Linked DNA regions of Nothobranchius furzeri. Each later gene encodes a partner of the first gene's protein in a complex. Links are inferred from orthologs where the notes say so. Each region holds a gene or a part of one and is shown in the gene's direction. Other genes may lie near its edges. The genes, in order: cnot2, cnot11, cnot1 and cnot6a.

Region 1 (7,502 bases):
AAACGCTTCCACTATTCTCACGGTTAAAGTGGCTCGTTCACAAACTGAAACTAAGCTAACAAAACACCTAGCATGTTAACGTTAGCTACTTAGTTTCGGCTAACTAACATGTTAGCATTGCTGTTATAGTTTTCACTCCCACTAAGTTTTCATGAATATTACAACAAATTCAGCTGTCAAATGAAAGTTAATAACCACCTGGGCTAAAAACTAAACTATTGTTTAATTTCTCCAACATTTATATATGTCAGTGTTTTTCAAATGTCATCTATGTAATAAATTAGATTTGAGGACAATTTCGTAAACCTTTCTGAATTTTCTTATTGAACATTAATTGCTTTTTCACTCATAATCCACCTAGCCTTATTGAGTCGGCGTAGTTGATCACTTTCCGTTAATTATTGTTTGTTTTTGAGCCACATCTGTCTCCGTGTCCCATCAAAACGAAACAGTTTTCTATATTTTGTATTTAAGATCTTCAAAAATGATCAAGATGGCAGTTTAAATTTATATTTGAATTCCTCCTAAGCGATTCCCAGCCTCCTATTAGTTGAAAAGTTCTTATTTATAAAAAGACGTGACTTTTGGACGTTAGTTATCAGGTGTAGATTTTAAGCCTTGAGATTTATTTCTACTCAGCTTCTCTTGTTTTTTAGTGTAATGGTCATGTAAGAAAAAAAATACTGGGAAAAATAATAAAAATCTAAAGCCAAACTTTGAAAAACTTCACAAAAAGTTGAAAGACTGTTCTTCAAAAGCACATGTAAAAGGTTAATGGAAAGTCTGCCACAGCCTAACAGGAAACATACTTGTTTTGTGGTGGTTTCTGCTTAAAATTAATTTTCTGTTTGTTTTGTGATGTTGTGATTTGAAAACCTAAGTGTGTCTGAAAAGCTGAGTATTATTTACCACAGTCTTCTGGGCTGGAGCAGCGCCCAAGTTGCCGTGGCTTGCCAGAGAAAGAGATCGACAAACAGGGCTCAGGAATATCTTAAAAAATGAGTTTGAGAAGTTAATCTGGCCTCCAAACTCCAGTTGTTAATTCGATGATCTTGTCTCATTTATTTTGCCCCCTTTAGTCTCCACCTTTACTAAAGTTCCCTCATTCTTTAGGTGACAAAAGGCATGTTTGGTGCTAGAAAGAAATTTCCAGAGTTCGTCGAGGCCGTCGACAATGACTTCCCAGATGAAATGTATTACAGCCAGGGGTCGATGTTCCCACATCGATCCGACAAAGATGTAAGTCTCGTCATATTTCTGTGTGGTCATGTTATCTGATGGGGAGTTTTTCTGATTATTTTTCTTGTTTGTGAATCTTATTGTCCAGATACTGTCTTCTCCTTCACCGTCGTCTGGTCAGCTGTCACAGCTCGGTCCAAGTTTGTACGGTCCACAAAGTTAGTATTTGCTGTTCTATTTGTACCACAGAATGAACTAGTTTCACATTTGTTACAGATCAGTAGTAGACGTGGACTGATCATACAATGCAAAGAATTCTGTCTGGATTATTTAATATTATTTTGGATTAACTTGGTTCTTTTTTTTGTCCAGGTGCAATTGGCTTCCCCGTTAGAAGCTTGGGAAACAGCACACCTCAGTTAAACCGAAATCTCACGCAAGGGTCGCAGCTACCAAGTCATATCACCCCAACAACAGGCGTCCCCACCATGTCACTCCATACCCCGCCGTCGCCGAGCAGGTTTGTGTTTCTGCTACTAATAATTGTAAAATTGCAACAAAATGTTCATTCTTAAATGTGTTTTTGCAGAGGCACGTTACCGATGAGTTCCAGGAACATACTAAATCACTCTCAGGTTGGTCAAGGCATCGGGCTGAGCAGCAGGACCAATAGTATGAGCAGCTCAGGACTCGGGAGCCCCAACCGCAGCTCACCTAGCATCATCTGTATGCCCAAACAGCAGCCGTCACGTCAGCTGTGCACCATAAGCAGGTAGATTTTAAAATCCTTACGTTTATCAACATCCCTCTGTGGACACCGGCTGAAGAACCGGTCTTTTATCTTCTCCGTGCAGCATGTCAGGGTTTGGTATGAACCGCAATCAGGCGTTTGGGATGAACAACGCGTTAGCAAGCAACATCTTCAACGGCACAGGTGGGTAGTTTCTTTTGAATTTCGAAAGGCTGCAAAGTGTCACGGAGCTTCATGTTGCAGTGGAGTTAGTGAACAACTGCTGGCTCTGCAGTAGAATGTGTTTATGTTAAAGTCTGGTTTTAAATCTGAGCAGCACAAAAATGAAAACAAAAGAATAAATGTATGCATTTTATCAATCTTAAAGACAAAATGTATGGTTTTTATTTGCTGCAGTAGCGATTAGTACGTATTACTATAGAGAGTGTGTTAACATGCTGTTGCAGATGGGAGCGACAGCGTGATGGGACTGGATCTGTCAGACTTCCCCGCATTAGCAGACAGGAGTCGACGGGAAGGGACGGGAAATCCAACACCGGTGTCCAACCCGCTAGCTGGACGTGCTCCATACGGTAAGCCAATTATCCCCTAAAGATTTGTCATCTCAGCAGTGGAACTAGTTGCTTCTGTTGGAGTTGTGCTGTCACTTATGTGACTGTTTTACTCTGGGAAATCGTTAAGTTGGCATGGTGACAAAGCCATCAACTGAACAGACACAAGATTTCTCCATCCATAACGAGGACTTTCCTGCGCTGCCTGGGTCGAACTATAAGGACACCACACTGAACAACGACGACAGTAAAACTGTAAGTGAGCATTCTCGTTTCTGCGTTTGTGTCGGGGCGCCGATCAGGAACCTTTCCCGCAGAGTTTTATGTTTCTCTTCTCCGTTTTTAGAACTTGAACTCCACAAACAAGAGCACGTCCAGCACAGATGGGCCCAAGTTCCCCGGAGACAAGACGGCCTCCGCACAGAACAACAACCAGAAGAAAGGCATCAAGGTGTTACCAGATGGTGAGACTTCACAGCCAATCGTATCGCTCCAGTTCCTCTGAGACATCCCTTCTTAATCACACAGCTTGGGTGAGGCAGTTGGGCTCTCTCCCCTGTATTTTGGGTTAAATCAGTATTGGATAAGCTACTATGAGACGGTGTAATTGTTTGCTCTGCGATGTGTGCACAAATGAGTCTAGAAATAAGGATTTGGTTCCACAGTGAGTATTTGCTGTAGATCAGAGTCCATCGGTAGATGTGTGGTTTACTGAGTCTGGATGGTTCTGCCGCTGCAGGTCGGGTTACCAACATTCCCTCAGGAATGGTGACGGATCAGTTTGGGATGATCGGTCTGCTGACGTTTATACGAGCAGCGGAGACCGATCCGGGGTTGGTCCATCTGGCGCTAGGAAATGACCTCACCACGCTGGGACTCAATCTCAACTCACCAGAGTAAGAGCTGTTCCTCCACAGAAACGCTCGCCTTTAAGGTTGGTTTATGCTTGACGCGTCCGCGAGGTCCGTACGACTACGCGCGGAGAAGTTGCGTCATTTTAACAACCACGCCCCTCCACCGCGTCTCCGCACGGGTCAAGATTTCCGCAACGCGCACCTCGGAAAATTTCTAACCACGTGGACGGACGGACGCGGAAAAACATGGCGGACCGGCAAGAACTAGTATGGCAGAGGTTCGTAAATACAGACATTTGTATGATTCAGCTCTCAGAGATCACCGTGATCAACATGTTGTTAAAAATTCTTGGAGAGAAATAGCTCGCACTGTCGGAAAAGACGAGGACGCTGTTAAAAATGCTGGAATGCCATGTTGTAAACAGTAATTTTTACTTCTATGGTGTAGTATTGGATGCATGCCTAGAGCTCCACGCTGCTCCGTTCAGTTTGGGAGAATATTGGCTCACCGCAGAGACAAGCCGCATGAACCATACACGCTGCGAGTTGTGAAGCGCGTTCCATCCGCGAGCCGCATCACCGCGTGGAAAGTGAATGCGTCAAGCGTAAACCAAGCTTTGGGGGTCCAGAGCAAAGTGTTTTTGTTTTTAAGGATGTGTGCTTCTCCTGATTTTAAGCCTTCTCTCTTCAATAGAAACTTGTACCCCAAGTTTGCCTCTCCCTGGGCCTCGTCACCATGTCGACCTCAGGACATCGGTAAGACAGATTGTCAGTGCCGCTTTAACTCAAAAGGCAAACAGCGTAACTTGTACCTGTGCTTCCAGACTTCCACGTTCCTTCGGAGTATCTGACCAACATTCATATAAGGGACAAGGTGATGCACAGCTGCACGACTATAGCACTTTTACACTTTTATTAGCATTAAACTAACATTCCTTACCGTCTTGTCTCTAGTTGGCGGCGATTAAGTTGGCCCGGTATGGTGAAGACCTGCTGTTCTACCTGTACTACATGAATGGTGGCGATCTACTACAGATCCTGGCAGCAGTAGAGCTGTAAGTAGGCCTTTATTACACCGAACATCCAAAACGAGAGGGATCAGGAGATGTGATGTTCTCAGGGACTGAATCCGGATTCTCTTACTCTCCCGTCTCCAGCTTTAATCGGGACTGGAGGTACCACAAAGAGGAGCGGGTTTGGATAACAAGAGCACCCGGCATGGAGCCCACACTCAAGACCAACACCTACGAGAGGGGCACCTACTACTTCTTTGATTGTCTTAACTGGAGGAAAGTTGCCAAGGTAAGACCTGCTAAGTTGAGAGTGTTTTTTTTTTTTTGTACTGGTTGTGGATTAGTCTAAACTCTGCCCAAATCTCTCAGGAATTTCATCTGGAGTACGACAAGCTAGAAGAGAGGCCTCACGTTCCGACGACGTTCAACTACAATCCAGCCCAGCAGGCCTTCTGAGGCCCAAGCAGCTGTTCCTGCACACAGAGCTGACGCCCAGCACCGGCGCTGTGGTTTTTATTCCTCCAGGATTTGGCTGTTAGACTGCAGGGGTTGTGATCACCATTAAAGCTGTCCTGCCTTTCTGAACTTAAATTCTACCCCAAAACACTTGTTCCGTTTTTATTACTCTGTGTTTCAGGTTGTTTTGTTTTTTTTCCTTTCTCTTGTTTTGAGCAGGGTCTGTGTTTTGTTTACGTCTCTGAATCAGAAGCCTGCGTCCTCTCGGCGAGGAGGACTAACTTTGTGGCACGGGACGGGGACAGAACAGAGGTTCCACCTCTTATTTACAGCAAGTGTTAAGAACACAAGCAGGTGGAAAACAAGGCTGTTAGCATTCTCATACACAAGTGAAGGGGTGAAAGAAATGCAATGTTTATTGTTGCACTATATTTAGTAATAAAAGAACACAAAATTTTTTGTGCTTTTTTATATGAACACTCCCCGAGTGTTTTTTCTTTCCCCTTCTTTCTGTATTTCTTGAGTTTACGCATCATTCCCTCATGCAGTCCTTTTAATTCCATCTTTTTTAGCCCTCTGTCTGTATCCATCGTTTCTCCAGCGTCTGTATTTGCACTACCAACCATTTTTCTGTTCCTTCTTTCTCCGTTCGTCTCCGTCTTTTGACTTCTGTGCCGACCAAACAAGGACAGAAATACGAGAGTCTACATTTGTGGAGGATTTCTCGCCGCGGCTGAACTTTAACACCAACTTTGCTCAAGAGCAAACAAACACTTTCCAGTCTTTGTTACGATTTTGTAAGAAAAGTGTACATTTTTGTTCTTTGCATCACACAAATTAGTACATGTATGTATGAATGTGTATATATGATTGCTATATATATATATGTATGTGTATATATATATATGACATCTATTTTGGAGAAAAAAAAAGCCCTGCCTTGTACCTCGGTTTTTTTAATGAGATGAACATGGAAAAGAAAATGTGGATGTAACAGAAATGTTCTGGATCTGCTGCCGTTTGGCGCCATACTTACCTAAAAACAAACTCCTTCATGGAAAGGCCGACTTCTCAACATTTGGCAAAAAAAAAAAGTTAAAAGTAAAAGGGATGCATTTCAATTTAACCTGAACAGACATGAACGAGGACATTTCATAGGGAAATGATAAACTGGCAATTTGCTAAAAAAAAGGAAAAAATAAACCCAATCTTGTATTATTTTAAGTGAAACGCTTCTTTTCTTTGTATTAAAGCAGAACAGGCTTTCCTGAACCACCGTGTCATGTTTATTACTTTTGAGATTTTAAAGTTTTTTTTTTATTTATGAGCTAAATCACGACCACTATGCAGATATTTTACATTCATTAGACCGGTGTTATTTTTTAAAAGCTGCATTTTCACAAACGAACCAAATTTCAACAACATTCTCGACACAAAATTCTCAGGTCGCTAAAAAAAAAAAAAAAAAAAAAAACGAGGACGTTTTTGTTACGAATAAAAAGGTTTAATGACAAAGTTAATGTTTCCACACATTCAAAGAAATATATTAAAAGGCTCCAAAGCAGCAGAAAACTAAAACTTAACCATCTTTAACTTTAGAGTACAGTTAAGTCGAATGATCAAAATGATGCACAGTTCATAAGGCACCCACATTTATTCAGTGTTTAAAATGTTAAAAGAAACAGCACTTACATTTGGCACAAACATAAAATATTAGGAAAACATTCAGGCAAACCTTAAACGATTTGCTACAGAAGTGGAACTTTACAAAATAGCAGATATTGCAGCTGATAACTAAACTACAATCTTCTCTGGAGATGACTTTGTGGGATATAAAAACACCCAGCAGCTTCTCTGGGCGCTCTCCAGTTCTTCATCCTGAAATCTTTTGTGCAGTTTGTGTTGCTTTAGCTGCAGGCTGATTTTTACCCGGCAACACTTTAATAGTTCTGATCCAGTCAGAAGGGAAGGTTTTCACTTGGAGGGTGGTTCAGGAGCCGTGGAGCCCTCCGATGAAACTCCCGCTTTCCCAGCATCCTCTGATGAAAAACATAAAAGCATTGAAGGTGCGGTTCACTCGTTGAACTCATTCACTACATTTAATTACTGTTTTTAATGGGGTGGGCTTTGGAAGGAGCTCCTGCGCCTTGAGAGTAAACATCACAGCTCTAAAGGCGATCTCCATCCATGTGTGCCACACGTCACGTGATCAGCAGAAAATACATGAACTAGGAGATTGTTTTGGGACGCTGCTGTGAAAAGCGCGAGGCGCCAACGGGAGAAGCTTCTGCCGCTCACACTTGGCCAATGTATTGTGAAAGAACAGAAAAAGCAACAAGCACAGATTTTTCCTGATGTAAGAAGTGAGTCTACTCTGTTTTTTGGTGTTCACATGGTCATAGAGCACAATATTCTGTTACTCTTCAACTAACAGCAAAAATGCTGGCAGGCAGAAACGGCTGGCAGTGAATGAGTTAATACATCTGCAATGGTCTCTAGTAATAATAATAATAATAATAATAATAATGCAATGAACTTATATAGCGCTTTTCTAGACACCCAAAGACGCTTTCACACACTCTCACATTCACACACTGCTAGTGATGGTAAGCTACTTGTAGCCACAGCCACCCTGGGGAGGTCTGACAGAGGCGAGGCTGCCATTTGGTGCCGTCGGCCCCTCTGACCACCACTAACA
Region 2 (8,443 bases), on another chromosome or scaffold:
TAAATAATAAATAAATAACTACTAATAATAATTAGGGAACGGTCGTGACGTCACTGAAATCACCACTGGCTAGTTTCACTAAACGACTATAAAGGACCACTGATACTAAAACAAAGAACGTCCGAGACACTCCAAACTGGCAGGGTAACAGGACTTTGGTGGCAGATAATGCCTTATTTAGAGGCAGCACTGCTGCCACAGCAGCTCCCATCATGGATATATGTCGATCGTAGATGGATTTTTCTCGAACCCCAAACAGCACCAAAGTTTTCTGGGTGAGTAAATGAACGTATTGCATAGTAGAAATAAGGTCCAGGTAGCAATAGAAAAGTCACCGTTTAATAATAACACAACTTGTTCGTCATACCCATTCTAGTCACGTTCGTTTCCTCCTTAATTCTGGAGGCAGAGTCGGCTCTTCTGTGGAGATGAGCGCCGGTGTCCACAGCGCCAACAGCTGATCCCTGGTGTAAACAATAGGTTCATGGATGGAGCCGGAGGAATTTCCCAGTGCGTTCCCACCAAGTTTAGAAAGCAGTAAAAAAATTTTACACAAATCACTAAAAAGTCCTCCTGTGGATGGTGCGGTTCAGGGGACATGTGCCCCCAATAACAGCATTAAAAACATGCAACACAAGACAAGCAGACAATAAAAAAGAAAGAAAAGACGTAAGAGCTGCTGTAACTGGCTGCAGCTTGTGCTGTGCCATCTTGGTAAGGTTTTACAAAAGCATGTTGTAATTTTCATGAATAAAAAGTGTCATCTAAGTCAGTGTTTTGGAATAAATGGTTAATAAAGTCTGTTAGCCTTCATGTTACACCCCTGAGGGTGAAAGTCGCTGTGCAGAGGGGAGTAGATGTGAGAGCGAGACATACAAAAATTATCTGTGCTTTATTAACAAAAGGCAAAACACAAATTCTCAGTCCTTATTGGAATAACTAAGGGAGAAAAACAATGTTTTTATTTGGTTAAACAAAATAAGTATAAACAAAACATGCAAATGACTAAAGGATTCACTTAAAACACCTGAGGAAATAAGCCTCAGGGAGGTACTGAAGCAAATGACCAATTAAACCAAAACAGAATAATTAAAACCAGATTCTTACCCAACATCACACAAAATCCAATAGATTTAAAGAAGACAAAACCCAACGGCTATTTACTAAACAAGCCCAAATGGTGGTAATAAATCTAATGAGGAAAGTCAAAAACAAAATAACGACTAAATTAAACAAAATAACTATTTATCCAAACCGGGGCACAACTACCTACTTTAGGAGGGGGACATAATTGGGCATCCACAACCCCACCCCCCCACCCCACCCCATGCTAAAGATTTTGTTTCTAATAGAATTAATTTTACTTGTAAAAAATCCCATAAAGTCGTTGCTGCTGAGGGCTAAGGGAATAGATGGTTCAGAGCTATGATTCTGTGTAAGTTTGGCAACTGTACTGAAAAGAAATTTAGGATTATTATTATTAATAATAGCAGTTCTAGTTTGTCGAGGCTTATTTTTATAAAGCACAAGACTATTTTTCCAGGATAAGTAGGACTCCTCATGGTGCGTAGAGCGCCATGTACAACAATTATACAAGATCAACAAGACATCACAACACGGAATAAAACATGAAAATAAAACAAAAAACGCCCAATCGGCCAATTAAAACAGTCAATGACACCAGATAATACTAATAAAACACTAAATAAAGCTAAAATATTACACAATGGTGATTCGTGGATCAATTAATATTGATAAAAGCTCTAAAGGCTAAAATGTAACCCAGTTCAGATTCATGACTTAAAAGCCAGATCATTAAAGTGGATTTAAAAACCACAACAGGTGACTGGTGGATTGAGATGGGCAGATCATTCCATAGTCCAGTTTGTTTTATAGAACTGGACTATGGTGGGTTCATGGTGGGTGTACAGAGTTACTAAATCTTTGCTTTTCAGGACATAAAAGAAATTATGTTTAAATATGGTTACAAGTAGGGAGGTCCCGATACAACTTTTTCCACTTCCGATATGATACCGATATTGCAGCCTTCAGTATTGACCGATACCGATATCAATCCGATATGATATCAGCACATACACACTTTTACCTATTTCATATTGTGGAATGTAGAAAAGGCTTAATCAAGTGACTTTTTAATAACCTTTGGTTGCATAAATGTGAACAGCTGAGGGAAGAGACATAAGGAAAAAAACACAATATTGTTCGCTGACCAACTGCTACAAGTTGTGTTTAAAGCAGGGGTATTCAATTCTGGGCCTGGAGGTCCGGTATCCAGCACGTTTTAGTTTTTACTGTTTCAACACACCTGATTTTAATCAGCAGGTAATTAAAAGGTTTCTGCAGAGCCTGATGAGCTGCTGCACAGGTGAATCAAGTGTGTTGAATCAGAGAAACCACTAAAACGTGCAGGATACCGAACCTCCTGTCCCAGAAACGCATACCCCCGGTCTAAAGTTTAATTTTACACACAGCGAAAATCCTCACGTAATGGTTTGTGATCCTGATTCAAATGCACATCGAGGGGGGACGACGTATAAAACTTCCCCGGTTCTGTTCAATCTTTGGAAGCTTGTGCATGACAAGTGTTGCACTGAGCCAAACTGTCTTTTTTGGACTTTAACAAAAACTACTGCCAGATGGCCGACATTGCTCCTTGCTAGCAAACACTTTTCTGATCACGTGGACTTTGCACGCTGGATCTGGACGCTGCTGGATAGAATTGCTGTAATGGAATTTAAAGCAGAACAGACTGCTTATATTGGAGATTTTTGATGCAGTCCGATATAATCTGATACGGTTTTTTTGGGCCGATATCCGATACCAATATCGGAAGGGGACATCCCTAGTTACAAGAACATAGCTACCCATCTGAGTGTGGTTTATAGGAAATAATCACAGCCTCCCTTCATTTCACTACCAGAATGATATAAAAATCACCTGCAACATTAATAAAAATTATTATTTTAGCCAACAGCTTGGAGCTTCATATTTTCTTTGGATTTAACTTCCTACGTTTGTTTTACTCATTTCCTCAAATGCATCGATTTTAATAACTATAATGTAAAAAGCATCATAGCTGTGCTTTTAAAACAAAGCCACAACTCTTTTGACTGAAGGACTTGCCTCCTCCTGCTGGTTCTGGGTCGCAGCTCTCCTTTTCTTGAAGGAAGCAGAAATGAAGCTCCCTGCTCAGTTCCACCACCGGCTGGTCAGGAAGGAAGTCCAAACAGTCCAGAGCTGCACAGAGCCACTTGTCATCCCAAAGAACGACAAATAAACACAAACATTTACAAGAAAATCTCATTAATCTGTAAAGTAAAGCAGCTGGGATCCATGCCGCCGCCACAGGTTCCAGTTCTCAAACCCACTGGGAGCTCCTGAAGGCCTGGAGGATCTGTCTGTCCAGGTGGTTGCTGCTGTAGATCAGGTCTGGGTTTCCATGAGCCACCAGGCTGGCTGTAGAAGGAGGAGGAGGAGGAGGTCTGGCTGCACTGGAGCACTCCTTCCAGCAGGGAGAGCTCTATAATGTTTAACAGCCGGAGAAGAGTCTGCTCGGTCAGACGAAGGAACACGTGGAAACTCCATTACCCACAGTGCACCTCGAGGTAAAGGTCACAAGAAATTTAAACGGGTAGTGCGGCACATTAAGAACCTACTTTTACAGCCATAACAGGCACTTATATTGCTTTTGGAGTTTATTTTGTCGCTAATTGCTTGTTCGTTAAGATTGTTTTGTTGTTAAATAGTCAATTATTGTTGAAAATAAGTCAGACCAAAAGCTGAGTCCTGGAAAACGCTAAGCTAAGCTAAGTGGAGGCTAACACAACTCCAGGATGCTAATATCGTTGACTTTCTGATTCACTTCACAACCATGGATTAGCACGTCTTGTCCCGGTATTTTTCCAACAATAACTAGTTTTAAAAACGGAGCAGAACTTCCCCGCAGCTGAACAGAACCGGAGGAGACGATGAGCCTAGCTCCGAAGGAACTGTCCAACCTGCTGAGCATCATCTCGGAGGAGGCCTGCTCCAACTCCTTCGAGACTCTTTCCACTCACTTCCATCATTACTTTGGCAAAGCAGAGCACTTCCGGGTGGGCTCGGTGCTAGTCATGCTTCTCCAGCAGCCGGACCTGCTGCCCAGCTCCCCGCAGCGGCTCACCGCCCTCTACCTGCTGTGGGAGATGTACCGGACGGAGCCCCTGGCCGCCAACCCGTTCGCTGCTGTCTTTGCCCACGTCCTGAACCCGGCTCCGGCAGGAGAGGAGCAGGAGAAGGCGCTGTCCGGTAGGACTAAATAATCCGGCATTAATGAAATCCATTCATTGCCATTGTATACTGGTAACACAAATATAAACACATCAAAGTCCATGATGGAGTCCCATACGTCTATGAGAGGAATGGCAGGAAATACAAGTTGCTAATACTGCTCCTGCACATTTACTGAAAATCTACGTATCTAAGGAGATGAATTCAGCCCCACCTGTTACCTGTGGTGATTTTGTGTTCAGGCTTCCTGCCGCCTATCACCCAGCCAGAGAAGTTCTTCCTGTCCCAGCTGATGTTGGCACCACCCAGAGACCTCTTCAAGAAAACACCCAGACAGGTGTCCTGCATGGACATCACCAACATGCCCCAGCCCATCGACATCAGTGGGCTGCAGCTCGCATTAGCAGGTCGGGGTGTGTGTGTGTGTGTGCCTGTCCTCTGCATCAGAGCTCTTGCCCCAGTGAGTAGACAGCTGCTCAGGGGAGAAAGCAGTGTGTGCATATGTGTGTGTGTGGCATAAGATTATGAGGACACACACAGAAAATTAATAAACTAATGTGGTTCAGAGTCTCCAAAAGCAACACAGCTCGTGCCCGCCTTTGTTTACCTTATTATGGAGGACACCGCGGACTTTCCCGCGCGTATTAATCACCGCCCACAGGCTCGGGGATTTCTGCGTTCCTGAGAAGTCGCTCGGATTTATACGTGAACACTACACCGCCCGTTCGAGACCAGACTCGCTCCATCCAGACCCACCTAACGGGTTGCCTACCCCCGGTTCAGGCTGAGGTTTAACTTATTTAAGCCTACTTAATACCAACTTGATATAAATATTTTGCAAATACTGACTAAGAGTTATACGGTGCACTTATAATCTAAAATAAATCGAAACATATGGTAAAAATATGGCCTGTATTTGATATAGTGCCTTCTAGAGTCCTGGGAGTCCAAGGCGCTTTACAACGCCATCAGTCATTCACCCATTCACACACTGGTGGGGATGAGCTACGACGTAGCCACAGCTGCCCTGGGGCGCACTGACAGAGGCGAGGCTGCCGAGCACTGGTGCCACGGTGCCTCCGACCACCACCAGCAGGCAAGGGGGGTTAAGTGTCTTGCCCAAGGACACAACGACAGCAACAAACTGAGCGGGGCTCGAACCTGCAACCTTCCAGTTATGGGGCAAGCACTTAACTCCTGTGCCACCGTCGCCCACATATGTTGCATAATGGTTATTTAGTCCCCTCCAGCGGTGCTGTGGGAGAGTGTACGGCAGCGGCGCGTCACTCAGAGATGATTTATTTTTTATCAGCCTGAGAAACTTATCTCTAAACTAATCAGTGACAGGTCCCATCAGTTAATGTAATAATTGTCCCAGGCATTTTGGGCATCCCTCTCCCTGCTTTCACAGTGATCGTGTGCTGCAGCACACACACACACACCATAGACATAAACATAGATGACACCTGGACAGTTTGCAGCACATGAACAGGATACAAACAAATGAAGTAGAAGAATTCAACACCAACAGCTGCAGGTGTTAATAATACAGTGTAAAACAATCACATATATGAGCTGTTTTGTTGGTAGAGTCTGTTGTTGTTTTTAGCACTTAGGTAGTTAAAGAATGAGTTGCAATGTAGTTTGTTCCAGTGGTGTTGCTGTGGTGTGATGTCATCAACAGGCGCAGGTCCCTGAGCGGATCTGATACCTACACCAGCATCAGAAAAGGAATTGCAAACAAGCAACTGTGGGCCAGAGCCGCTGAAATAAAACCAGGAGCTGGATGCGTTTCGAGTTGAGGCGCTGATCGAGCACAAAACACGTATAAAACATGTTACATGGAAGTAGAGCGGGTTGTCCAGTAATCAGAGGGTTGTCCCGGCTCACCGCCCGGGTAGCTGTAGCTACACTGTAGCTCATCACCATCAGTGTGTGAACGTGTGTGTGAATGACGCACTGTAGTGTAAAGCGCTTTGGAGTCCTCTGACTCATGGCACTAAATAAGTGTGGGTCATTTATCATCATTGTCCTGGTTCATCATGTCCGCTCTTTAAGCACCTCACCATTACGTCGTGTATAGTTCTGCTCCAAACAAGGAGCTAATGTTTAACACGTCATTTGTAAGTCAGGTGAGAACATTGGTTGATGGTGAGCGTGTTTACGTACGTTATTACACGCTCGTACCAGGATGGTCGTGTCGCTCTCACCTTCAGCCCCTGACCCGTTTCCATGTCTGCTCCTTGGTCTAACAGAGCGCCAGTCGGAGCTTCCCACTCAGAGTAAAGCCAGCTTCCCCAGCATCCTGAATGACCCAGACCCAGACTCCTCCAACTCAGGGTTCGACAGCTCCGTAGCCAATCAGATCATAGAGTCTCTGGTCACAGGACCGCGGCCTCCCCTGGAGAGTAAGTGGTCTTCATTTTCACTTTTATTTCTTCAGAACAGATTAGGAGAACCTAGAGTTTGTTTATTCACGCTTCCTGCCGAGTGCCTGAGGAGGTTAAGGAAGGTCAAGACGAAGTTACACGTGTTCAGAGCTCCTTAAAGCTGTGGTGTGTAAAGATTCTGCTTGGGTTGTCATGGTTACCGCATCAGCTTCAGAACGCATCACCACCTGTTTGTTTTTCAGGTCACTTCCGGCCCGAGTTCATCCGGCCTCCGCCGCCTCTCCACGTGTGTGAGGATGAGCTGGTGTGGCTGAACCCCACCGAGCCGGATCACAGCATCCAGTGGGATCGCTCGATGTGTGTGAAGAACAGCACCGGCTTGGAGATCAAACGGATCATGTCCAAGGCCTTCAAGAGCCCGCTGTCAGCTCAGCAGCAGTCTCAGGTGGGTCCTGGACTCCCAGGAGCGCTGGATCATATAAACACCGTGGTTGTCCTCCTCACCGTCTCTTCCACCTGTGTAAGCAGCTGCTGGCTGAGCTGGAGAAGGATCCGAAGCTGGTTTATCACATCGGGCTGAGCCCGGCCAAGCTGCCGGACCTGGTGGAGAACAACCCGCTGGTGGCCATCGAGATGCTGCTGAAGCTGATGCAGAGCAGCCAGATCACAGAGTATTTCTCAGTCCTGGTGAACATGGACATGTCCCTGCACTCCATGGAGGTGGTCAACAGGTGAGGGCTCGGCTAAAGTGTCTTTTGTGAGTTTCCTGTGTGAGACACGGGGTCTTGCTGTTGTGTGGGGGGCTGTCACTGTCCCGTTGTTCCAACTCTTGACCTGCATGGTTTGTGTTTTACCGCTGTACTTGTTTCTGCGGTGTTTTATGTTGAGACCTGATATTTGAATGGATTCTTTAACCCTGAATCATCTTCAGATGAGATGATTGTCTGTTACAGCTCAGCAGGCTGAGGTCAGAGCTCTAACTCTCTTCATTGTGTTTCTGTTTCCCACCTCCATCAGACTGACCACAGCTGTTGACCTGCCCCCAGAGTTCATCCACCTCTACATCTCCAACTGCATCTCCACCTGTGAACAGATCAAAGACAAATACATGCAGGTAACGGATTTTTCTGACTGGAGCTTCAGCAGCACAACAGTAAACTGTGTAACGTTATAATATCCCGGTCTGATGACACCATGTCTGTCTCTCCTAGAACCGGCTGGTACGACTGGTCTGTGTCTTTCTCCAGTCGCTGATCCGAAACAAGATCATCAACGTCCAGGACCTTTTTATCGAGGTCCAGGCCTTCTGCATTGAATTCAGCCGCATCCGGGAAGCCGCCGGCCTCTTCCGCCTCCTTAAGACTCTGGATACAGGAGAAAACCCGTCTGAGGTCAAACCCGCCAAATAAAGCGAGATGGATCAACACTGCTAGCGTTCCCGTCATCAGAGGAGCCGCTCAGCCAGAGAAGATCCTGTACATATGTGGACTGAACTCTTGGGACTCCCCTCCACCTACAGCCTCACCTTCTTCTGCTCTAATGTAAAGAAATAATGTTCCTCCAGGGTTTTTTTGTTGTTGTTTTCCATTAAAACAACATGTTTAAATAAATGTTTCATTTTCTTTCTTCTCAGAACCATTGACCTAGATTGGATTAGGTTAGATAAGATTAGATTCAGCAGTGACACAAAATCTCTTCTCATGAATTCTCCCAGAGCTGGCCACAGATCTTGGACCACGGTGGACCAGCGAAGCCCGATGTCC
Region 3 (7,849 bases), about 3.8 Mb from region 1:
AGCCCGGTTATTATCAGCTGCTGAACGACACCGAGCGGACTCACGTTCACGTTTGAAAGCAGCGCTGATTCCAGAAACCTCAGCACAAAGTGCATTCGTTAATCTGAGCCAGCATGACGAACAAGGGAACGGCGCCGCTAACTCAGTTTGGTTGTTGCGTTCCACCCATCCTAAGGGTCTACGTGGGGGGCGGGCGTATTACGTGAACGGACCCATCTGATTGGCCGCATATCAGAAGGGCTACATTTGATTGGTCAAATAATACTTCTGCGTAAAAAACAGAGCTGGTTTACAAAAAGTTGATGTATGACACGGATGGAAATGTTTGAATCAAACATTTATCACCGTTTTTGACGTACTTTGCGATGGGCCTATCGCACGTCCTGTTATCGCGATGACAATAATTTTTCGATATATTGTGCAGCCCTACATAAAATCAACATTAATTAAAAAATTGTCTTAAAAATCGAGATCTCAGTTTCAGTCAAAATAATCATGATTAACATTTTTGCCATAATCAAGAAGCCCTAGTGTTCTGTAACAAATTGTTACAATACTTTCGCCATTCATAAACGTTGTTTTACATATTTACCTCTTCGCTTGTTTCCATCATCGACCTATAAAATTATGGACGTAGCCCATCCTTGCTCTGTCGGGGGAGGAAGTTGAAGCCAAAAATGGGAGGTTCCCACCAATGATTTTTTTTAACCGAGTCACGCTCAGACAATCCAAAAATGGGAAGAGGTCGAGCTGAGGGTGGGGTTGTTACGTTAGGAACAGGGTTGGAACAAATTAAACAACTCTAGCTAACTTAGCTAACCCAAGAAGTTAAGAAGGGGACAGCGGGGCAGCCCACCCGCACAGCCGACCAGCTTCAGTGTGAGGCTGTATTCTTGCTGGTCGCCTGTGGAGTTCTAATATGGACTGGGACTGTTACATTACAAGCAGAGCCAGACCGCTGCGACTGGGAGCCCTAGCCTTTCAGATCAGTTCATTCTCCACGGTCGGAGATCAGCGGGACTTTAGCTACATGCTAACCAGAAGCTAAACACGTGGTAGAACGACTCCAACGTGAAGTCACCTCCGGCCTTCTTAGTAACAAAATCATAACAAGGTAAGCTGACAGAGAATATTGGGCTTCGCTGGTCCTCCCTGGTCAAAAATCTGCGAGTCCGCCGTTGTCAACACACGCGGCTCTGGTACTCGGCTCACGGTTTCGTGTTCCGCTCTCAACCAGAGACGAGAACAGCTGATCTTTCACCGCAGTGGACCAGCAAAGCCCGATCCTCGGTCTGATATCCAGCAGCCACACCAACACATTATATTTCAACTGATTTCAACCCCTTTTAGACCAAGCAGTGTTATGGTAAACACATTGAATTTTCCCCCATTCAACCAAGTCAAGTTTATTAAATAGCCCATTTCATACACAAAACGGTAGCCCAATGTGCTTCACATAGTTAAAACAATCACAAGTTAAATTTAATTGTTAAAATGTCACATCATGTTGTGTAAAATAAAAGCACCAGCAAACTATTAGAGATAAAAAAATGCGGGTGAGCGACTCAAAAGTAAAGCAGCATCAACTACAAAAGCTGCAGTGTTTCTGTGATCTCCCTCAGAAATCCACAAATGACCAGCATGACTACAGCCTGTCATCGGAGCTTTTCGTGCGTCGGCGGCCCCGGGGAAACGGGAACAGCCAGCCGCCTGCTCTAGCAACTCGTCTCGGGCAGGAGACAGAAAATGGGCATCCGCTTGTTTCTTACCCCGGGTTTCCACGGGAGCCGTCAGCAGCACGTTACTGCAGCAGATCTTGCTCGCGTAAGCTGCTGCTTGGCCCTTCCCACGAGACGCGAAGCAGCAGGGGAGCAGCTGTCACCGACCGAGCACGAAGTCACACGAGTGACTTCGTCAGTAAACACAACAACAAGCAGGAGAAAACTACAACATGGTTTGTGTTTTATGTTCTGTCCGTTTTATAATCGCCAATACGGACCTGAAAAACAAAGGAGACCGCTAGCTAGGTGATAACTTCTCACGGGGCCGCACAGTTAGTAACTGTTTTTAAAAGTAAAGCAACCGGAAGGCAGTACGTTCTTTATTCTGAAAATCTCGGGAGCTTCTCCCCATTTCCGCGTTCGATTTCCTGTCTTTCCTTCCCCAAAAATGTCGAACTTGACCCGTTTCAGAGGCGTCGCGCGTAGAAAATAGAACCGGCGCGTAAAGGCCGCGACATGCTGCTCCTGAGACGCGGCCGACTCGCGCTGCTGACGGCTGCCGACGGCTCTAGTGGAAAAGGTTCTGTTGACCACAGCGGTTCCTATGAGAAGCTATGACGTGCTGCTGCAGTAACGTGCTGCTGACGGCTCCCGTGGAAAGCCGGGGTTATCCAGCAGCAGCCCCACTAACATGTTTGACCAAGTAGTTAATGACGCAGCATTTCCCCCCATTCAACCAGCTAATTAAAGTACAGAAATATAAATTTACTTACTGATAAAATGAAACAGAAACTGCTTGGATGACCTGTTAGTGCAGTCAACAACCACAGCTTGCCCTTTATGTCCAAATAATTCCATGATTAACATCCAAACTGAAATATTAAACACAGCATTTGCTTTTCTGTCTAAAAGGTCCCAAATGGTTCATGTCATCTGATTCTTCAAATTTATTTTGATATGTTTGAGATCATCTCTCCAGTTTTTTTTTTTTTGTTGTAATCCCATGACTGTTGGTGGCTAACGCCCACGATGGGTTTAAGAATCCTTATCAACAGTTTGATTCATCCGTCTTTAATTAACTGGGAATTGGTTGGGCAAAGGGCAAAACAAATGTTTCTGTTGTACTTCTTCCAACATTACTCCTAGACTGAGGTCTATATAAACTGACATTCAAGACACAAGTGGACCCACTGTTTTGACCAGTTAACCATATTTCTGATTTTAGACCGTGGAGAGGCCTTTTAAAGGTTTGTAGTTTGAATGATCTTACCATACTACTTAGAGTGCTTTTAACACGCCATTACAGCTGACCAAATTAATTAATAAAACAATTCAAGTTTATTTGTATAGCGCCAAACCACGACAAGAGTCGTTTCAAGGTACTTAACATAGTAAACATTCCAATACAGGTCAGTTTATTAAGCCAATCAGAAAACAGTTTCCTATATAAGGAACCTAGCAGGTTGCATCAAGTCACTGACTGAAATAGGCAGAAATATTCACATAGATCATAAAAACAGTTGGAAAAAGCAAGGCAGTGAAGCCAAACAAACAAATTGAAGCCACATTTTACTAATCCACAGTTTTAAAACTGAACATCCCATGTTGGAAGGAGGATTACAAAGTCTTGTCTACATTTTGTGCCTTTCCAGATTGTAAATCGTCACGGTCCTGAGGCAGACAGGCATCTACTACGCTGTCTCTTTTCCCATGTGGATTTCAGTGGCGATGGTAAAAGCAGTGGCAAGGACTTTCACCCGGTAATTTTTGATCATAAATGTTTGATGGATGTTTCTAATTATACATTCATTGCTTTATCCACTCTGAGAACAGACCTCTTTTAGTATGATAATACTTATTAAGTTCCAGCTTCATCTGTTTGTGCTCTTTCTTTTTCTCTTTTTGTTTTTTTGCAAGACACAGTTTCTGATCCAGGAGTGTGTTTCGCTTATATCAAAGCCAAACTTTATTGCTACCCTGTGCTACGCCATTGACAATCCCCTTCACTATCAAAAGGTAAGATGTTGTTGATAGAACATTGGAATGTTTGCAGATTGAACATCAAGTTTTACTTCATGCATGTGTGCACATCAGTGAAATGAAATAATCTTTCTTTTTGTCCACCCCACCCCCACCCCCGGCTTATTAAAGTGTTCAACAGTTCTGTCTCGATAATGGTGTACCCGTCTCTATGCAGAGCCCTGCGTGCTTTAGGGGTAAATAAAGGGGATTAACTTTTAGCTTCACAAAGACATTTTTCTTATATTGTCTTCCAGAGTTTGAAGCCATCTGCCCACCTCTTCACTCAACTGAGTAAAGTCCTTAAGCTCAGCAAGGTCCAAGAGGTAAGTCGGCTCTGCGCTGAGATTTTATCATTAACCAAATTAAGCAAGCGGTTCCAAATTATGTAATGGACTGAAAATTTGTGGTTTTTTGCCTATACAATAGTTGAAAATAGTAGTTTTATTTATTTCTTGTTTTCCTAATTTGTTTCATTTTCTAGGTAATATTTGGCCTTGCTTTGCTTAACTCCAGCAACACAGACCTTCGTGGTTTTGGTAAGTTGCCTTGTAGAGGCTGACACATTTTAAAGACGCTGCAAAAAAACAAGTTTCCACTGGGACTTTAGTTAAGAGGAGTTTGTTTTGCAGCTGCACAGTTCATCAAGCAGAAACTTCCAGACCTACTGCGCTCATACGTTGACGCAGACCTTGGAGGAAACCAAGAAGGTGGCTTCCAAGACATTGCAATAGAAGTGTTGCACCTGCTGCTCTCCCATCTACTGTTTGGACAGAAGGGAGCCAGTGGGGTGGGACAGGAGCAGATTGACGCTTTCTTAAAGACACTTTGCCGAGGTATGATGTGTTTAATCAGGTGGAGCTGAGTCAAACTGAGCTTGCGTGGTATTGAAATGATAAAAATCACTCCTGGATGTCTAATCTGTACCACACCTCTGTGTTTGCTGGACTCTAGATTTTCCCCAGGAGCGCTGCCCTGTGGTGCTCGCACCACTGTTGTACCCTGAAAAACGGGACATTCTCATGGACAGGATTCTACCAGACTCAGGAGAGTTAGCTAAGACCATGATGGAGAGTTCTCTTGCAGACTTTATTCAAGAAGTTGGCTATGGCTTCTGTGCTAGGTGAGTTTAAAAACTCTTCTTGTTATTTTTTTTTATTTGTCTGCAGTAATAAATATTTACAGTTAATTGTAGGACAAAAATATTTGATGGTTTTAGTGTTTGATTGTGAGTGCATTCATATCAGCACAGCTAAACCACTACCAGCTCTCAGAATAAAACCACTACCAGCTCTCAGAATATGGATTTTGAAATGCTGATTTATTGTAACTGAAAATGTAGAGTTTTCATAACTAGATGGTTTAAATGTCTGACTTTAGTTGTATTAAAACTAGGGGTGGTACTTTAACACATTAATTATGATTAATTAATTGGGGGGGGGGATTACTCGTTAAAAAAATTCACGCATTTAATCTAGGGATGCAACGATAACACTTTTTTCCAAACCGATACGATACCGATAGTTGGATCTGAGTACTCGCCGATACCGATTACCAATACTGATACTTCTACCACACACAAAAATGCAATGATTTGGAATAGATTTTATTTTCTTCTTTGCTTTCAACAGGAAAAGACTGTGAGGTAGATAAAAAGTAAAATATATGAATGGAAATCATCACAAAACTAAAATATTAGGTGAACAGAAATGACAAGTTACAGTGAAGCCATTTTCAAGCAACTGCATTGGTATCGGTTAACTTTTACCGATACCAATACTGTTATTGGTATCGGTACCGATACCAGTATCGTATCGGTGCATCCCTAATTTAATCAGAGCTTGCATTTCAAGCAAGGTAAAACCTTTGTCATTGCGTGATTTCCTGGTAGAGCGAGTGTCACTGATGCACACAACAACGCACAGAGCTCTGCTAACCCCAAAATTCCACTACCTCCGCCCCTGCCTTCCGCAGCCGCTCGCTTCCGAACTCAATTTTTACTGGTATCCGCTCCGGTGCGGAGACCTAAGGTGCGCAAACAGGCATGCGCAGGATTTTCGAGATCTTGCGATACAGTCCGATCAATAAACGCGGAAGTTAGATCCAAACACCCGTTGTGTGGGAGAAGCATCGAAATGAACTGTTTAATCTGCCCATCATTTGTGTAGAGAGATCAGCAGAGTTTGGATCAACAAAGGGTGACTACTTTGATAGAAGAAACTGTATTTATGGCTTATTTTTGTGCATTTAAAGTTCAACCGCCATTGATAGTTGTTAAAAGTTGTTAAACCTGTGCATATGAAACAAAAAACGCTTTTTGTTTATCGATTTATTGTGAAATAACGGAAGTTGTGCTTGCTCCCTTTCCTGTTGGGCGGTTGTGATTTTTGTCCATTGACTGCGGAGGTGCTCCGGCGTCCGGCAAAAATAGAATCGATCCTATTTTTGCCGAATGGCGGGCGGCGCACTGCGCTGCACGGCCGCAGTAGTGCATCAGCTCTGATTGACTACAACGGGACCGATTTTGCTGCGGAGTTCGTGTCGGAGCGAAGCGGAGATAGTGGAATTTTGGAGTAACAGCTACTAAAATGGAATTATTGAAGAAATTGGCTTGCTTGGACTGCTGCAGTATTTGGAAAAACGTTTCGGCCTCTCTTTTTCTACTTCTTTTATATTTCCGCTACGTCTGTCACTATTAGCAGTGTTTTTAACATCCTTTCTACACCCACCATGTCCTGAACACGGTGAAATAAGCTTTGGAGCATGTGTGATTCACATTAAACACACAGACTCTGTTGCTGCGCAGCTGCAGCATCCCTAATGTAAATCTTTGCCAGTCGTGTAAAAAGAGCAGTAAATAGTTTATTATTGACCTGCTGGTTAGGACCCCAAAGCATAATACATAACTTTGTCTGGCTACTAAAGTTTTCAGAAGTAACTGGAGATCAAAAGCGCAGTTTAAAAAATATTTTGTATATCATAAAGCACACGTGTTTGTGTTAAATACGATGGAATGTGGTTGTGTGTTTCTGCAGTCTGGATGAATGCAGAAACATAATCCTCCAGTATGGTGTGAGAGAGGTGACAGCCAGCCAGGTAGCCAGGGTCCTAGGAATGATGGCGCGAACCCACTCTGGGCTATCTGATGGCATTCCGCTTCAGGTAAGGCTAAGCTGGAACTAAAGTCCGGTATCTACATTTTATCAACATAATGTTATTGCATCACCTGTTTACGTCGCTTTACCCTAAACTACAAGCTACAAACACAACAGACTATGTCTGGTCTTAGATTTACTCTACTATGCAACTCGATGTTTTTTCACTACTTTCTTGCTTCTGTTTTTTTAATGTGAAGTACAAAGTAACTTCCTGCTTGTGACTATTGTTTATAATCATTCTCCTGAATTTCTGACTATTACATCTCTCTGTTACTCCTGTAGACTCCATGATTATGTTAACAATGGGCTTACATGCACAGTTTAGTTCAGAAAAACAAGCTTTTATTTATATGATTTTCAACATTTTTATATAGTCAGTCTTAATTTTATTAACAACCTCAGTTGTACTCTGCATCCTACCGAAGATCTTCGGACCTGCGCCTTACCGGCTCCCACAAGATCCCAGTTCCTGTTCAGGTCTCCAGTAACGAGCTATATTAATTAAAGCCTTGTAAAGGTCCTATGAGGGTTTCTTTTTCAGGTTATCCGCGGGTCCTTAAAAAGTCTTAAATTTGCTTTTTCAAATTTAAGGCCTTAAAAATCCTTAAAAATGACAAATAATCCTTAAATACAGTTTCCAAAGGTCTTAAATGACCAAAGACCCAATAAACAAGGTATTTTTATTTCTATAAAATTTTCGTGAATTTCTAGTTAGTGTTCAGCATTTTATGTGTATAATATTTGCATAAGCGGAACTGTACACATTTGGTTGGTTGTGAAAGGGGGCTATTTTTAGATGAGCACATTAGCTGGTTAAGCTAGTGGGAGCTTGTACCATGGGGAAGTGCAAGTTTAATGGTAACTGGATGGCTAATCTCACGTTCGCGACATGGTTAGCACCGGTTTCAGGCAATAGCTGGAAATTATAGCTTAAATTAAATTTAAATAAAT
Region 4 (7,849 bases), on another chromosome or scaffold:
GTCCCTAAGTCATCCTCACACACGGGTGAAGTGCATCTCTGCATTTGACTCATCCCCGTGGAGAGCAGTAAGCTGCAGCAGTGGCTGCGCTCGGGAACTCTTTGGTGGTTTAACCCCCAACCCAACCCCTTAAAGCAGGGAGGCACAAGTTTTTGGTTTGACCCCCGATCTCCCAGTCCCGGGGCAGACCTCTACCATCAGGCCACTGAGAAGTTTTTAATTGTAAACCTGGATGTAAAAACTGCAGTGAAAGTGTTGCTGTTTTCTGAAGTGTTTGTAAATAACCTGACTCCTGTTTGTCCTCGGCAGGGAATTGCTTTTAAATAACAACCAGTTGCGAGTTCTCCCCTTTGAACTGGGAAAACTGTTTCAGTTACAGACACTGGGGTTAAAAGGTGAGTGGCTTCAGTCCTCAAAGCCCATTTATTTATTTCTCTGCTGTTTTTACAGCTGATTTCTGTGTTTCTTAGGAAACCCACTTGCACAAGATATTATGAGCCTCTACCAGGAACCCGATGGCACACGGAGACTGCTCAGCTACTTGTTAGACAATCTGGCAGGAGCTATCAAGCGCAGTGAGTATCAGCCCTCTGCCGTCGTTGTAAGGCTGAACAGGAATTTCAGCTTTCCTACGCCTGGGAAGAGAAGAGGATACTGGATAGGAGAAGCGTTTAAGGGCTTTTACTGAACCGTCTTTTCCTCCACACAGTACCAACCGAGCAGCCCCCTGCCCGATCGTGGATCTCTCTTCAGGAACCCGACCGAACACGTCCGTCAAGTAAGAACACCCACCCACACACACACACACCTCCTTTCCTCTCACAGAAGTAGGTTATGTTTTAAATATATTTAATAGTTATTTAAGTTTTGGCTATAGATGCAGGAGAGGATGTTTTCTCAGCACTGTTCTGAAGCAGCTGGAAGCGATTTGCAGGCTATACGGTTAAACGCCTAAATACAAGAACGCTAGCAAACATTATTCACGGTCAGTAAAGCTAATGCAGATATTTGATTAGAAGATTTTATCGCGGCAGTAAATAATACCCAGAAGTAGTGATAGTTGTAGTAATCTGTTTTATTCTGAGTATGCAGTTCCATTTGTAAGTATTTTAAATACTAAATAAAAACAGAAAAACAAAACAAGTATAAGAATCAAAGAATGACATGGTCAATCACAAACCTGAAAAGGGATCAAAAGAAGCACAAACTTGCTCACTGCCACTTCCTCATCAGACTTAACTAACCTAAATCTTCCTCATCCTCTTCTGTTACTTTATATCTGTGTAAATGTTTGCACAATGATAATTACAATTAATAGTTTTATGTGTATGATGGTACAGGTGTTTGTGAATAGTATACATACACCCGTACCATCATGATTGCACCCGTGATATTCAGAAGCTTTTTTCTAAATATTTAGTAAAAGCTGCTTCTTTTTCACTGATCCGTCATTAAAGCAGCATTATGTAAGAGTTCCACAGTGAAATAATGTTTGTTTATTTATTTAGCAGACGCTTTCATCCAAAGCAATGTACAACTTATAACCTATAGGGCATGTTGTGATCTGTGGGGGAAACCGGAGTACCCGGAGGAAACCCACGCATGCATGGGGAGAACACGCAACTCCACGCAGAAAGGCTGTAGCCGAGTTTCGAACCTGCAACCTTCTTGCTGCAAGGCAACAGTGCTAACAACTGCACCACTAGGCAGCCCAAAACAGTTTAATGTCTCAATCACACTGAAAGGAAGGTTACAATGAAACAGATTTAATTCTCCGCTGGCTGGGGTGTTGTCAGATTTTCTCCTTTAAAAAGACAAAACAAAATGGGGACGTCACTTAGAACCTGCCGCACACGAGAGCCAACTGCTGAGCAAGGGGCCTCGAATGACCGTTCGCTCAGCAGATACCTCGCTGTGTGCGCATTTTCCACCTCACGAGACGCTGAGGTGAATATCTGACCCCCTCGGGGGGGTAAAAACTCACCGTGTGCGCACTAAGTGAGCTGCTGGCTGAGCTGAAATATTCTAGTGGCCAATCAAAGCACGTTCTCCACTCACATGACCCCAAGATGGCAGCCCCTTGTCTGCATGTCAGAAAATAAACAAAACGAAGACGTAGCTGGAAACGGAGGAAATACCTCTACTTTTTTTGTTTATGAGGCATCGCCACCACCGTCATTTCAAGGTTAGGATAGTATGTGTACGGTGGCTGTAAAGCAGGGCCAGGCAAGGAGTTTATACCAATCTACTCCAAGAGATGTGTCTTGAAGACCCAGAATGCTTCCGACAGTACCACAGCCTGGATCCTGAATCCTTTGAGGGGGTAGTGGAAACAGTGGGCCCATCGATCTGCAAGGCACTGTTTCGTTTATTTTTCTGACACTCAGACAGGGCAGGGGCCACATCTGAATACATCTTGGAATCATGTGAGCAGAGAATGCGCTTTGATTGGCCACTAGAATATTTCAGCTCAGCCAGCAGCACACGTAGTGCGCACACAGCGAGTTTTTACCCCCTGTGAGGCGGAAAATATCAAACCGGTCAGATATTCACCTCAGCGTCTCGTGAGGCTGAAAACTCTTTGAAAATCAGGCGCACACAGGGAGGTATCTGCTGAGCAAATGACCATTTGAGGCCGTTTGCTCTCGTGTGCAGCAGACTTTATTCGGTGAGTTTGTGAGGTTGCCAAGTCTGCAGTGAGCTAACCCAGCATCCCAGGCATTTGTAATTCAACACAGTGCTCCAGAGTTGTTAAAAGAACTGAATAAAGCCAGTAAACAAGTGCGACCCCTAAGAAGCTACTGCATCCTTTAGTTGTACTCTAAAGCCCTTTTCAGACAGACATTCTGGAACATTTGCGGACAATTCAATCCGGTTTTTAACCGGAACTGTGTTTTCAGACACACCACTTTTGTACCGGAACTTGTCCTTTCGGCTGCGTTCACACAGCAGGGAAAAGTTCCAGATGTCTGACGGCGGCGGGGGGTGGTGGTGGTGGGGGGGTGATCGGACTCATGTTAAGAAGAAGAAGAAGAAGAAGAAGAAAATATCATTTCTACAGCGCCTCTCAAGATAAAAATCACGAGGCGCTTAAGCATAATTCTGCGCACACGAAGACGCATAAGAGACCTGGATGATGAAGCTCAATGGTTAAAGGAATCACTGAAGCGGTGTGAAGCGCTCCCTCGCGCGTCTAGACGGTACCGTAGGAGGCGAGCTGCCGTTGATCGCCGCATGCTACAGCAGCGGGCTATCTAGGTGCGCACAGCGTCCCCCGGTCCCCTCCTCCTCCCCCTCCCTCTTGTCCGGAACTTTACCTCACCAGTCTGAATCAGCCACCCTGTCCGTAACAAGTCCGGACCTGTTACTAGGGGCTTCGTCCGGATAAATTCCGGAACACATTATCCGGATGTTTGTATTCAGACAGAAAGGTCTTACGGACAGATTCCGGAACATTTCCGTTTTTCATGGCCTGTCTGAAGGGGGCTTAATGTTGAGTAAAGCAGGCTAGAGTTTATTATTGAGCTAACAATGCTAACGATGAATAAGGAGCAAATAGTCAGCTCAAAAATATCTCAAGCTACTTTTTCAATTACCAATAACTTGATGTTACAGTGAAATGTATGTGTGAAGTGAGTAATTGAGTTTTTCTTCCTTTAATGAGTTGCTCAGAACTTTTAACGGCAGGCTAACAGCAAGAATGCACACAACCACACTTCCTGTAATAACTGAAACAAACTACCATAATAAGTGTAGTAAGTGCTCCCTGCCATAAAACACCCAGGAATGCTAACACCAGATATGACAATGTATTCATCAACTTATCCACTTTCTGTGTATGACTCGTCTTCGCTCGTCATCTAGAATCTTCTGGTGCTCGTCATTAAACGGCAACAGCCATGAAACTCACAGAACGGCAGTGAGAACGTGATGTTTTTGCCAAAAAAATGAACCCCAGTACCCACATTTGTCCGCTAGATGTCATTCTTACAGATTGCACCTTTAAACATTCCTTCAGCCCCTCTTAAATGATTCTTCCAGACGCAGATAGAAAAGATGTCGGTGTGTAACTCCTTAAATTTGAAATATTTCCCCCAAAAATGATAACCTCCTTCTCCTACTACAAATATTTTGAAACTACAAATATTTTTTGATAATATATAGTATTTTGGTTTAAATATATATTGTACTGTTTGTAGTTTTAACCGTTTTCATTCTAAAACCAGCGACGTAGTGTGATCTCTGTAACTCTCGTGGTAAATGAGGACGCTGCACCGATGGGGTTTCATGATGAGTCGAAGTCTTTTTCCTGTGTTTTGGTTAACTCACTGCTACTGATGGGTGGAACTAGTAATTTCACCAAATAAAACCCATCTGATTATGATTTAATAACTAAAGCAAGACAACGCCTTAGAAGGGAGTGTTTAAGGTTGCTGTCAGCTTCAGAAACACGTGAACGAGTGAAATTTTTCCTGTCTGTGTTCCTTAGCTCTCTTCTCGGTCATGTGCTATAACGTGCTGTGTGATAAATACGCCACGAGGCAGCTCTATGGCTACTGCCCGACCTGGGCTCTAAACTGGGAGTACAGGAAGAAGTCCATCATGCAGGAAATCCTCGGCTGCAACGCAGACATCATCAGTTTGCAGGTAAGATAATATCCAAGAATTCATTAAGACTTTGTAACTAGGATTACAAGATGTTCATAATGTGATTTTTAGTCAAATAAATGTTTTATGGACAGTGTGTTGGCAAAACTGTGGCTTGTTTTGCAGCTGCTTGTATTGTAGAACGATTGATCAAAGTGTAATCATGTTCAGTTTGATCAGGGATCAAAGGTCAATATTGTTTTATTTGTGCTTTTTCTTTTTTTTTGGGGGGGGGGGGGGGGGGTCCATCAGTTTCATTACGTTGCCAAGAATCAGGATTGGTTCTTTTGTTTTGGTAAAAGCACTTTGGGTTTCGGATTTTTGACTGGTGAGGAGGGGGTTTCCTGGGGGGATTAGATGTTTTACACCATTTTTGTGTTTCAGTTCCTGTCTGGCCTAGGGTTGTCACGGTAACCGGTGTAGCGGTAAACCCCTGTAAAAAAAGTTGACAATAATGATAACCGTCTTGTTTTAAAAAAAACTATATTATCTCGGTGGATTACCGTGGCTGCGGTGTAGGCGCGGTGACCCTTACCAGCCACCGTATCATCTGCTGAAGTTGCCCGTGGGACATGCGCACTTTGTTGTTTACAACCAAAACTTTCTTGAAGCTAAAGCTGAAATAATGGCCAAAGGAGGAGACGGCAGCACTCAGGACATTTATTATCCCTCAAAGAAGACAAAGTCGGAAGTATGGGCATCTTTTGGATATTTGAAGAATGCTGAGAGACAGTTGATAGAAGACGGCTATCCGGCAGCAACACTTCAAATCTCATGACACATCTGCGTGACCATCACCCACAACGCTACAGTCAACGAAAGGCAAGCTAACGTTAGCGTTTTAGCTAAAATGTGTGATCCGAGGATTTGGGTTGAGGGAGAATGAAACGAGTCGCTATATAAAGCAGCCGCACCGCCGCTACCTGCATATAAACCGTGTCGCGGACACCGCCATATTGAAATGATGCTATGCATTACGGGGCTCCCAGGGGCAGATAAGAGTTGGTCTCTCTCCGAGAATAATTATGAATTTAACAACGATTACTGCCTGATGACATTTTCCCAAATCTGCAAAGCTCACTGGAAGGACACAAACCGAGGACAATATTTTCCTGATCTAGGGTTTATTACTCAAGTAAGGGTAAAAAGTATCTGATTAGAAGGCTACTTGAGTACTGAGTATCATCTGATCTAATATTTTTAAAATGATGACATCAAAAAGACATAAAATAAGAAGTTATGGGCAAATATTGGTATTTTCAAGACTAAAGGGGAAAAATGTAAACAAATAAACAACATAATTACAAAATAACACATTTTAGGCTAAATTTAGACACAAACTGAGGACAATATTTCCTGACATACAGGGTTTTATTTAATTGTGTGAAAATGTAGCACGTTTAAAAAAAAATACCGCAATAATACCGAAAACCGTGGTAATTTTGGTCACAATAACCGTGAGGTTAAATTTTCACACCGTGACAACCCTAGTCTGGCCTGGTATGAACTGCTGAGTTTGAAGCCTTCTCAAAGAATAGTGTGTAAAAAATAGAGTCGATGCACAAACAGCGTGTCCCTATGTTTCTGTGATGCTTACAAAACGCGATTCTTCACGGCTGGTGGAAACATACCATCCACTATAACGGCTACTAATTGCTGCTTTCTGTGTTTCGCTCTGTTTCAGCCACTTGATTGGTCCAGCGCAGAGTAGTGACGGTGTGAAATTTTAACCTCGCGGATATTGTGACCAAAGTTATCACGGTTTTCGGTATTATCGCAGTATTTTTTTTAAACGTGTTACATTTTCAGGCAACTAAATAAACCCTGTATGTCAGGAAAATATTGCCCTCAGTTTGTGTCTAAATTTAGCCTAAAATTTGTTATTTTGTTATTATGTTGTTTATTTGTTTACATTTTTTCCCTTTAGTCTTTAAAATACCAATATTTGCCCATAACGTCTTATTTTTTGTCTGTTTGATGCCATCATTTTAAAAATATTAGATCAGATGATACTCAGTACTCAAGTAGCCTTCTAATCAGATACTTTTTTTTTACCCTTACTTGAGTAATAAACCCTATATCATGCATAGCGTCATTTCAACATGGGGGTGTCCGCGACACGGTTTATATGCAAGTAGCAGCGCTGCGGCTGCATTATATAGCGACTCGTTGCATTCTCCCTCAACCCAAATCCTCGGATCACGCATTTTAGCTAAAACGCTAACGTTAGCTTGCCTTGTGTTGACTGTAGAGTTGTGGGTGATGGTCACGCAGATGTGTCATGAGATTTGAAGCGTTGCTGCCTTTCACAGACACTTTTTCTGCACGTGCTGCAAACAGGATAGCTGTCTTCTATCAACTGTCCCTCTGCATTCTTCAAATATCCAAAAGATGCCCGTACTTCCCACCTTGTCTTCTTTGAGGGATAATAAATGTTCTGAGCACTACCGTCTCCTCCTTTGGCCATTATTTCAGCTTTAGCGTCAAGAAAGTTTTGGTTGTAAACAACAAAGTGTGCATGTGCCACCAGCAACTTCAGCAGATGATACGGTGGCTGGTAAGGGTCACCACGCCTACACCGCAGCCACGGTAATCCACCGAGATAATATTTTTTTTTTAAAACAAGACGGTTATTATTATTGTCAACTTTTTTACCGGGGTTTACTGCTACACCGGTTACCGTGACAACCCTAGTCCAGCATTGGTAACGCTTGATTTGATTGGTTGTTCATCTCTTCTCTATAACAATGTTGCTATCGAACCGTTCTCATATGCCTGCTATCATTCCATCGCCCATCCTATAGTGGTAATTTAGTTCTGTTGTTGGCAACTTCCTGTCAGGAAAATCAAGTTATCTGACCCTGCAGAAAATGACACAAGCGCATTATGATGAGAAGAACACCAACTGTTTTTTAACCTTGCAGCTGTAGGCTTTAACAATAATGCCAGTATAGAGGTCCACACATGTAAAGTCCAGGTTTGATCTGTGGGCTCCTGCTGGGCTAGAGAATGCAAATGACTTATGATAACATCCTTGGTTCATGTTTCCATTTGTTTCACCAGAGCTGTATGCTGAGAAGGCTCTGTGTCTAAACTTCCTGTTAGGCCCCAGCTCAGAGATTTGCATGTTAGGATTAGGGTCTGACCGATATATCGGCCGGCCGATATTGGGGTCATTAACGGTATCGGCTATCTGCCAAAA

The links.
Region 2: cnot2 (region 1) and cnot11 share a complex: the UniProt entries of both Homo sapiens proteins name them as parts of the CCR4-NOT complex. The link is inferred for Nothobranchius furzeri from reciprocal best matches to the Homo sapiens genes CNOT2 and CNOT11.
Region 3: the proteins of cnot2 (region 1) and cnot1 are in contact, whole or in part, in a crystal structure (PDB 5FU7), measured with the Homo sapiens proteins. The link is inferred for Nothobranchius furzeri from reciprocal best matches to the Homo sapiens genes CNOT2 and CNOT1. Residues at the interface, in NP_001186231.1 of Homo sapiens: Met350, Val351, Asp353, Gln354, Phe355, Gly356, Met357, Ile358, Gly359, Leu360, Leu361, Phe363, Ile364, Arg365, Gly372, Met373, Val374, Leu376, Ala377, Leu378, Gly379, Ser380, Asp381, Leu382, Leu385, Leu387, Asn388, Leu389, Ser391, Glu393; in NP_057368.3 of Homo sapiens: His1864, Ser1865, Ala1866, Ala1867, Arg1870, Asp1871, Gln1917, Pro1921, Ala1923, Pro1925, Ala2003, Tyr2036, Leu2039, Glu2040, Ser2043, Arg2045, Ile2048, Ala2049, Ala2053, His2054, Leu2079, Leu2084, Lys2086, Gln2089, Ile2090, Leu2091, Tyr2092, Lys2093, Gly2094, Leu2096.
Region 4: cnot2 (region 1) and cnot6a share a complex: the UniProt entries of both Homo sapiens proteins name them as parts of the CCR4-NOT complex. The link is inferred for Nothobranchius furzeri from reciprocal best matches to the Homo sapiens genes CNOT2 and CNOT6.

The regions. Positions count from the first base shown.
Region 1 is NC_091744.1:77,740,086-77,747,587, forward strand, and holds the end of cnot2 (CCR4-NOT transcription complex subunit 2), read left to right. Parts: intron 1-1,113; 5' UTR 1,114-1,125; coding exon 1,126-1,239; intron 1,240-1,327; coding exon 1,328-1,397; intron 1,398-1,551; coding exon 1,552-1,699; intron 1,700-1,768; coding exon 1,769-1,951; intron 1,952-2,033; coding exon 2,034-2,113; intron 2,114-2,376; coding exon 2,377-2,502; intron 2,503-2,611; coding exon 2,612-2,736; intron 2,737-2,827; coding exon 2,828-2,945; intron 2,946-3,220; coding exon 3,221-3,377; intron 3,378-4,029; coding exon 4,030-4,091; intron 4,092-4,159; coding exon 4,160-4,209; intron 4,210-4,289; coding exon 4,290-4,390; intron 4,391-4,492; coding exon 4,493-4,637; intron 4,638-4,717; coding exon 4,718-4,804; 3' UTR 4,805-5,281; downstream 5,282-7,502. Other genes in the region: washc4 (WASH complex subunit 4), read right to left, coding at 6,779-6,843. UniProt on the Homo sapiens protein: Component of the CCR4-NOT complex which is one of the major cellular mRNA deadenylases and is linked to various cellular processes including bulk mRNA degradation, miRNA-mediated repression, translational repression during translational initiation and general transcription regulation.
Region 2 is NC_091754.1:35,252,623-35,261,065, forward strand, and holds cnot11 (CCR4-NOT transcription complex subunit 11), read left to right. Parts: upstream 1-3,798; 5' UTR 3,799-3,989; coding exon 3,990-4,308; intron 4,309-4,532; coding exon 4,533-4,697; intron 4,698-6,545; coding exon 6,546-6,698; intron 6,699-6,922; coding exon 6,923-7,125; intron 7,126-7,208; coding exon 7,209-7,411; intron 7,412-7,697; coding exon 7,698-7,794; intron 7,795-7,891; coding exon 7,892-8,089; 3' UTR 8,090-8,290; downstream 8,291-8,443. UniProt on the Homo sapiens protein: Component of the CCR4-NOT complex which is one of the major cellular mRNA deadenylases and is linked to various cellular processes including bulk mRNA degradation, miRNA-mediated repression, translational repression during translational initiation and general transcription regulation.
Region 3 is NC_091744.1:81,572,155-81,580,003, forward strand, and holds part of cnot1 (CCR4-NOT transcription complex subunit 1), read left to right. Parts: intron 1-3,373; coding exon 3,374-3,481; intron 3,482-3,638; coding exon 3,639-3,737; intron 3,738-3,997; coding exon 3,998-4,066; intron 4,067-4,224; coding exon 4,225-4,279; intron 4,280-4,372; coding exon 4,373-4,576; intron 4,577-4,694; coding exon 4,695-4,863; intron 4,864-6,775; coding exon 6,776-6,902; intron 6,903-7,849.
Region 4 is NC_091741.1:95,563,703-95,571,551, reverse strand, and holds part of cnot6a (CCR4-NOT transcription complex subunit 6a), read left to right. Parts: intron 1-309; coding exon 310-395; intron 396-470; coding exon 471-575; intron 576-709; coding exon 710-778; intron 779-4,489; coding exon 4,490-4,647; intron 4,648-7,849. UniProt on the Homo sapiens protein: Poly(A) nuclease with 3'-5' RNase activity.